Nothobranchius furzeri: one gene and its partner. The protein of the gene in region 1 interacts with the protein of each later gene in a pairwise test. Links are inferred from orthologs where the notes say so. Each region holds a gene or a part of one and is shown on either strand. Other genes may lie near its edges.

The links. The genes of interacting proteins can lie anywhere in the genome.
Region 2: the proteins of trim23 (region 1) and morn4 interact in binary tests that used the Homo sapiens proteins (3 or more experiments, as listed by UniProt). The two-hybrid records come from large-scale screens. The link is inferred for Nothobranchius furzeri from reciprocal best matches to the Homo sapiens genes TRIM23 and MORN4.

Annotation. Positions count from the first base shown.
Region 1 is NC_091746.1:63,287,569-63,291,680, forward strand, and holds the start of trim23 (E3 ubiquitin-protein ligase TRIM23), read right to left. Parts: upstream 2,801-4,112; 5' UTR 2,786-2,800; coding exon 2,654-2,785; intron 1,981-2,653; coding exon 1,818-1,980; intron 1-1,817. Other genes in the region: mzt2b (mitotic-spindle organizing protein 2), read left to right, coding at 3,428-3,603, 3,682-3,839.
Region 2 is NC_091752.1:21,507,667-21,511,647, forward strand, and holds morn4 (MORN repeat-containing protein 4), read right to left. Parts: upstream 2,801-3,981; 5' UTR 2,668-2,800; intron 2,054-2,667; 5' UTR 2,047-2,053; coding exon 1,980-2,046; intron 1,029-1,979; coding exon 914-1,028; intron 831-913; coding exon 721-830; intron 643-720; coding exon of another isoform or gene 624-642; coding exon 475-623; 3' UTR 322-474; downstream 1-321. UniProt on the Homo sapiens protein: Plays a role in promoting axonal degeneration following neuronal injury by toxic insult or trauma.

The sequences.
Region 1 (4,112 bases):
CCAATCAGTGACTGGCAGTCCTCTGACGTTGCGTTTTTCGTCCCAGTTTGGTACACTTGGAACCACTTTGAAGCAGACAAATAAAGGAGCAGCGACCTGGTACCCGTTACTAGTGAAACTGGGCTGAATCGAGTGGAGCTCTGCTTAGAAGGTACTGAAGGAAAAATCTACAAGTGCAACAGAGAACATTTACACCTTTGTCCAGATTCAATTCAACCACCTTCAGAGTTTTCAAGATTTTCCAGCACCGTACAGTCATGATTTCCACACACATGGAGAGACGCTAAATGGACAAAATTATTGTCTTGCTGAATTTCATTATTGGTCTAAAACTCATGCACGTCAATTGGATATTTTTAGCGATGTCCCAATACGACTTTTTCACTTCCGATACGATATCGATGTTGCAGCCTTCAGTGTTGACCGTTACAGATATCAATCTGATACGATATCAGCACAAATCATACTTTTACCCGTTTCCTAATGTGGAATGTATGAAAGGCTTGATCAACTGATATTACTCAACTGGAGAACAACAGCCAATAACAATAAGTATGAAAAATTTCTTTTGTAACCATTGGTTGCTGTAGCTGCCCCTGGCACCATGAAGAAAAGAACGGAGAGCCTCGACGGGTGCATAAACTTTTATTCGTTTCTCTGGTCCAATGCCTTGGACTTCACTCCATGAGTTGCACTGTGAAAACTGTTTAGAGATATACAAAGCATAAATAAAAGGTGAACACAACTTCGATGTCATAACAGAAATGAATTATATTCTCACATTTACCTTGCTCCACTGGCCAAGGATGCTAAACAAACCAATAAGTCCTTAAAGCTGCTTTATCTGTAGATTTGAGTGGGGATGGACAAGAATAACAAACAATGACTATAGAGTGTCGAAGTAATAACCCAAACAAAAGCGTCAATACAGCAAAACTTACGTGGGGATGCAGTCGGCACTGTGCAGCTGAGGTGAATTTAGACCAAAGACATAATTTCAACACTTCAAAAGTGTTATCTTCTCTACAAACAACTTAACCCAAGCCATTTTCTCTGGAAGGGTGTGGCTTATATAAAATCTGTGAGCCAATTAAGAGTCATTGCCATCAGCTGCTCATCTGGCAGCTACAGTTGCAAAAATGTGAACCTTAACGAACCGCTTTTATAGGAGACTTTTGATGCCATCCGATATAATCCGATACAGTGTTTTTGGGCTGATATGGAATGACCTCCGATATCGGAATGGGACATCCCTATGTTTTACTTTGTGAAGTGCACCAAGACGACTTGTCGTTATTTGACGCTTTATAAATAAACTGAATTGAGTTTCACTTTCCAGTGTCAGCACCAATGCATGACTTTAAATAACGGAGATGTTGATGTAAACAAATACTGCAAGACTACACAAAGTTTTAGGACAAAGTCAAATCAAACCTACTACGAAGGAAGGTCTGGATCTGAAATGTGTTCATGTTTTATTTCCCTACATTAGACTGTTTTCGATTGTGAGCTCTTTTCTCTGCAGCCTAACAGCATATTTGCATCTGCCGTCCAAGAACCAGTAAAGTACACCCTGCATCTTATGATGACTGTGTATTCTCTGTGCTTTGCCACTCCAAGATAATTTCAGTCAGGAATACCACTTGGATGTTATGTTACTTCTGAGATGAATAGTTGTTTGTTTTTAGTGATTGAAGAAATATTTTTGTCATTTTCCCAGGCATCCTCAGAATTTGTTCAGTTCAATAAAATTCTACCAAATGTTGCAAATCTGCATCCTTCTTCGAAGGCCAAATTATGTTATGTCCTTCACTCACCCAGCTCGGTGACCTGTCGGTCAAAGGGGCAGCGGACCGCTCTGCCGTGGAGGGGCAACCGGGTGAGACAGTCGTGGCACACGGTGTGGCCACAGAGCAGAAGACGGGGGACCTTGTCACCTTGGAGGGAGAAGACGTCCTCACACACACCACACTCCAGCACCTGCAAGTGACAGCACAGCTTGAACACTGCCTGTCTATGTGTCTGTCTGTCTGTATCTGCTGCAAGGTGACTTCCACACTCAGGATCACGCACACTTGTAAGGAATTTTAATTTGTAACTTTAGGTTTGACTTGATGCAGAAAAGCAGAGGTACTTGAAAAATAGTGATGAGATAAAAAAATCCCAGGGTGTTGCAGTCACTTTGACATAGTGACTCCCAAGGTAAACATCACGAGACGCTTTGCCCACATTTTATTCTGTAAACTAAAATTAATTCTTCCAACAGCTGCTACTGTACACCCTTATAATGCACTGACTAGCTGATTGCTTGTTTTTGTTTATAAGGCTGCAGCGATCAGAAACTTGTGCTAATGCCAACCGGCGGTTTTCGAGCTGGTGCTAGCTCGCAGCAAACGCTTCTTAATGACAAACGAGTCTTCTGGAATGCATAAACGGCTACAATAACATGATGAAACGCGTTTGCACAGCTATTACACTGTCAAAATCCGTATTTGGCACCCACTGCGACCAACGCCAACGCAGCAGCCTTAGCTTCCAACTAGAAATACATCAAGCAAGTCTGAACCAGCGGACATTTATCACCAAAGCTAACCAAATAATATGTTCACAGCAATAACGACCTAGCTGCGGAAATTTGTGACATGTTTACGACCTTCACGGTGCTTCCACTGGCTCCCCTCCCGTGCCGGAGACAGGTCTCCATCGTCGCTCCTGCGCCCTGCTTGTTTATTCCTGCTGCAGCGGCGGCCATTCTTCGACGACGGCGAGCGAGAGAACTGAGCATGCGTGAGAGGATAATCCCTCAACAACTTCCGCGGTGTCAATTTTGGTATACTTTTTGTAGTAATTTTGTAACCCACGTTCACTAAATAAATCGCATAGTGATAAACAACCGATAAATGACCCGCATTTGTATAGCGCCTTTCAGAGTCAGAGGACTCTGTAATTTCATTCTTTTAATTGTCTTTACTTTTTACCCTTTAAACCATATAAGTCCGTGGTTGAAACGACCACCAAGCAGCTTCAGCTTTTTTTATTTGTTATATAAATCTAATGCTTTGCTTAACTGGCTCAACTTTAATGTTTATTTACTCGTTCAATACATTTATCGAGAACAAACCACAGGCTTCTAACTACATGTCCCATCATGCTGCGTGAACGTTCCGTGATGATGACGCATTTTCTACGCGCCGTGTTTACAGAGAGGAGTTGTGGATATAAGCGGGATTCTACACGCTAAAAGCTGCGGCTTTAACGGTATAAACACATGTTTGATTAAAAACGTATTTTTTGTTGTTTATAACCTGTTTTTATGTTTACTTACCTTTCAGTGAGCGGTTGAATTTCGCCATATGTTTATTCTGCGCGGCTAACGTTTTATGTTCGCGCATAAATGCCATTTTCTCACCACTCAGGTGGACTTGATATGTCTCAGCCAACACAGCAGACGGGGCCATCTGCTCCTGACTTCCCTGCTCTGGTGGTCACAGCAAACGTGCAGAAATATGCCATAAAGAAGAAGAAAATCCTGAGTGCTGAAGAAAGTGAGCTGTTTGAACTGACTCAGGCTGCAGGCATCACTGTGGATCAAGAAGTCTTTAAGTGAGTGAACCGAGACCGGTAGAAATGTGGTTCTTCACGCGGCGAATGAGTAAAGGATTCGTTTCTGCCCTCCTGTAGGATCATAGTGGACCTCCTGAAAATGAACGTGGCTCCCCAAGCGGTCTTCCAGACCCTGAAGGCAATGTGTGCAGGACAGAAAGTAGCCGACAGCTGCATAGAGGCTTCAGTTGTCTCCCACACAACAAACACCACCCCAGCACCCACCGAGGTCAAAGGTCAGTGTGTAAAAACTGGGCTTTAGTTTTGAACTTCAAGTGTTACTCCAGCATGGAGGGATTCTCTTGCTGATGCAGTTAAAAATCGCACTTGTACTGTGCTTTTCTAAGTCAGGGACTCCAAAAGTGCGTTACACTGCAGTCAATAATTCACCCATTCACACTGATGATGACCCACCAGTTACCGGGTGAACTAACCCCTGAGCCACCATCAATTTATATTGGGTGAAATGGTTTTGTGATCAGTAGTTTCTAGTGTACCCATTTCAACTT
Region 2 (3,981 bases), on another chromosome or scaffold:
TTAAAACCATGTGATTGGGCCCGATTTCCGATCACGTGACTGGATCGGAGCATCCCTAAATTATTTCTAGAATTTTAAGCTGCTTTACGAAGTTTTATTTATTTTATTTTTTTCAGAAAAAGTATCTAATCACAGGCTAAAACTTTTTTAAATATTTAATTTTAAAACTTCTAAATCCAAGGTGCACAGTAGCTCTCCTTTGTTATTTTAAAGTCTTAAGGTCCAGAACACTAATTTATATATTTACACAATAAAAGCCTAATTTGCTGCTCACTGTGTGCTTCTTATTGTTGTGCCTTTCTAATAATCCACACAGAAAGCTGTTATTTGGTTCAAATGCATTTGGTGGACCAAAGGAGAGGCAGAATTTTAAAATATTAAACAATAAAAAGTGTAAGAAGCACTGGAGGAGTTTACATCTTTAAGGCCCTTCTGGAAGGTGCTCAGCTAACATCCCCTCAAGAGTCCAAGCGATCAGGTCGCCAGGCTGTGAGCACTGGAAGCTGAAGCCTGCGCACGCTGCACCACACCTGCACACTTCTCCCTCCTCTGCAGCTTGTGGTTTTGAAACAAGCCCTCATTCCGTGGAGCGCCGTGAGTTCCGTCTGGGAAAGTCAACAGCCCTGCAGGTACAGACACATCCTACCATGACCAACCACATGGAGGAAACTGACATTCTGATGGATGTGCTGCTCCAAGCGGGGAGGGTCACAGACTTACCGTATCCCTCAACGCGCCCGTCTTTGAATTCCCCCTCAAATTTCATGCCGTCGTATCGGCTGAAGACTCCCGTGCCTTGAAACTTGCCATGTGCAAATTCTCCTTCATACCTAGTGTGGTGTAAATAAACCAGGATGTTGTTTGCATCTTTTAACAAAGTGCAAAAATGTTTACCCTTTCTTTGCACACGAACCGGGACCCATCTGTAAAACGCAGCACACCAGATCCATGAAAGAGTCCATTCTCAAACTGGCCAGTGTAGCAGGTTCCATCTTGAAACTTGAGCTGGCCGAGGCCATGCCTCCGACCTGGAAAGCATCACATCTTAGTGAATATTACCATTACATTCCTGGAATATCATATCAGAGCACATTTTAACTTCATTTAAATACAAATGCCTCAATAAAGGGAGCAACCAGCTTCAACTGTGATGCCTCTGAGTCTGACAATGACATATTTTTTTGCAGAGCCACTTCAGGTGTCAAGAAATTGGACACTTGGATTTAAATACTTCCTTCCAACCAAATGAGATAAAGATTTACTACTGAACTAGGAGCCCCATCTGTCTCCCGTGCAAGTGGGAATTACGGCCGTCTAATCCTGCAGGTTTGCAGTGATTTCTATTTTAAACCTGAACCTTAAGTGAACAAACTGCACCACGACACACAAAAACTGGGTAAAGGAGAAATGGGAGGGGAAAATAAACACGAAGAGTTAGAACTGCAATGCACATTTAAACACAGCATAAAGGATGCTGTTGTATTTTAATTAAATGAAATGCTCCTTGAGGACTGGCCACACTTTCCTAAACAGTTCCAAACTCCAAAGTCAGGCTCAAAAGGGATTAGACAAAAGCAGAGCTGTTAAATCTGGCTCTGCTCGTATTAAGTTACCAGCAGCAGCTAACTGCAATGCACCTGCAGGTAAATGTGAGAGTAACACAGGTAATATCATTTAGATATTTCCATTCTAAATAGATAATTAAGCCCACACTTATGCAGTTTTAAGTTTCAATACATTTTTCATCTCACTGACAATTTTGTTACTTATAATTTGAAGAAAACTGAATTTCCAAGAATCAGGAGTAAATGTAAAGAACGAGCAGTTCAGATAGGAGCAGGCAGGAATCTAACAAACACTGAAGAGACGTTTCTCAGTCACCACATCCTGTAACTCTGACAAAACCTCTCTGACGTGCATGGAGCAACACAGACAGATGTCTCCGTTTGGATCGGAGCTGTGGAACAGAACCATCTTGCCTTCTTTCCACTCGCCATGGTATTCCTCCCCGCTGGCATAAGTGAAAGATCCTCTGGTCAGGGTCATGGTATTCCTGTATTCAAGACAAATGCATGCAACAACACATGGTATTTAGATACACCTGACTATTCTGAGCAATTGACAACATGTCTCTTTACTCTTCTTTTCAAAATAAATGTAAACATGGACAGGGATTGATTTATTGATTGGTTATAAATCATATAACTGAAATCAATTAAAAAATATCTGCAGTTTGACAGCGACTGCTTCAAATTAGAGTTGAAATGAGTGACAGATTAATTATCAGCTAAAAATTAATTATGACACCTAATAAGGTTAGCATTTAAGCTTGACTGCAGACAAACGCAAGCTTTCCGCACAGTCATTTCCAAACAGCCTATTGTGTTTTAGTGAGTCTCCCTTTAAAACAAATGGCCACGTTACAGATGGCAGACAGCTGTCATTTTACCCAGGCGGCCGCTAGCAAATTAATAATTCATCACAAAAAGGCTGAGAAATCCACACATGATTACAAATACACGCCTAATTAGCTGTCAATATGTTTTCGATCCATACTAAAGCTCTGAAGAGGCTCTTCGCTTTGACCGATAAGCCAATTTAAGCCAAAAACCTGAAATTAAACGAAAATCAGAGGAAAATAAAAGCACCTATATTGGTGTAATTTACCTGCACGTAAGGGTTTTCGTCCCTGGAGCATGGAGGCAACCGTACGGGAACGGACGGGCGTAAATAAATAAAAACACCGGCTGAAAAACGGATGGTGCGTTTAAGTGCTGCCCGTAAAGTTGACTAACAACCCAGTGACTGTAGGATAAAACCGCGTGAACTAACACTGTTTGTATTAAAATACTAAAACTATTCTTCATTTTCATTATTAAGAACTTAAAAGCGTTTTAAATGATGGCATCTGAATATCTATGACGTTTGTGAGAAACTAAAACCAGGAATTCCGAGTTACATTTAAAGCAACATTTAAGAAGAAGCTCTTTAATGGCATACAGCAGCTGAGAGATTTATTTCTGAAAAAGATCTTTATTTTTTTTACTCTTATACTCACTAATTTAACCCATTTTCATCATTATGGTTTAAATAATGGTCCTGTCATATAAAAATAAATTTGTTGACTAAAATTATTTTAAATTTGTACTGGACTGAGATAAAAAGCAAAACTGTGTTCATTTATAAGCGAGTAGTTTTAAATCTGAAATGTAATAAATCGTTATTTTTTTCTCCTATTTAACAGAGAGTTGTACTGGCAAGAATCTAGTTATAGACTATTTCTAACAATGGGGGGATACGATATATTGCGATGCTAAATAAACAAACAATATTTGCAATTTTCAAGACTAGATGATTGGGAAACACTGGCTCAGACACTTCAGACACGTTTTATCCCGGTGTTACCGCAAGGTCTTGTCATCAGAGTGAAGGTGGTAAAACTGCTGCCACCTAGCTGTTGGAGTTTGAACTACATAACACAAAACAGTAAATGTTTGCATGCAATTTTGATAAATTGCTTTGAAATATTTATTCATTATCATCTTTTTAAAATACTTTATAGTGTCATTTCACTCTATCTCCTATTTTAGATTTGGACACAACATTTATATGTATATCATACAAACATTTTCTTACATCCCTATTCTTTAAATTAAAACCACAATGCTAACCCAGGGAAATATTGTGGTATGATTCTTTTTCTTTTTACTATAATCCATTAATTATTTTTTTATCTACACACACAAACGAATGGAAATCTCCACAAATCTAAAAAAATATATATGAATAAATAAATATTCCAGTTTGAAAGCAGTGATCAATGAAATAAATATACAAATTATGTGGGTATGGTTACATGATCAAAATGTGAAAGATAATTGATGATGAATAATTAGATTTTTTGTGTTCCCCTTTAAACCAAAGAACAGTAAAATTGCAGTTTTGTACTATTTATGTACAAAACGATTAATCAATAAACTA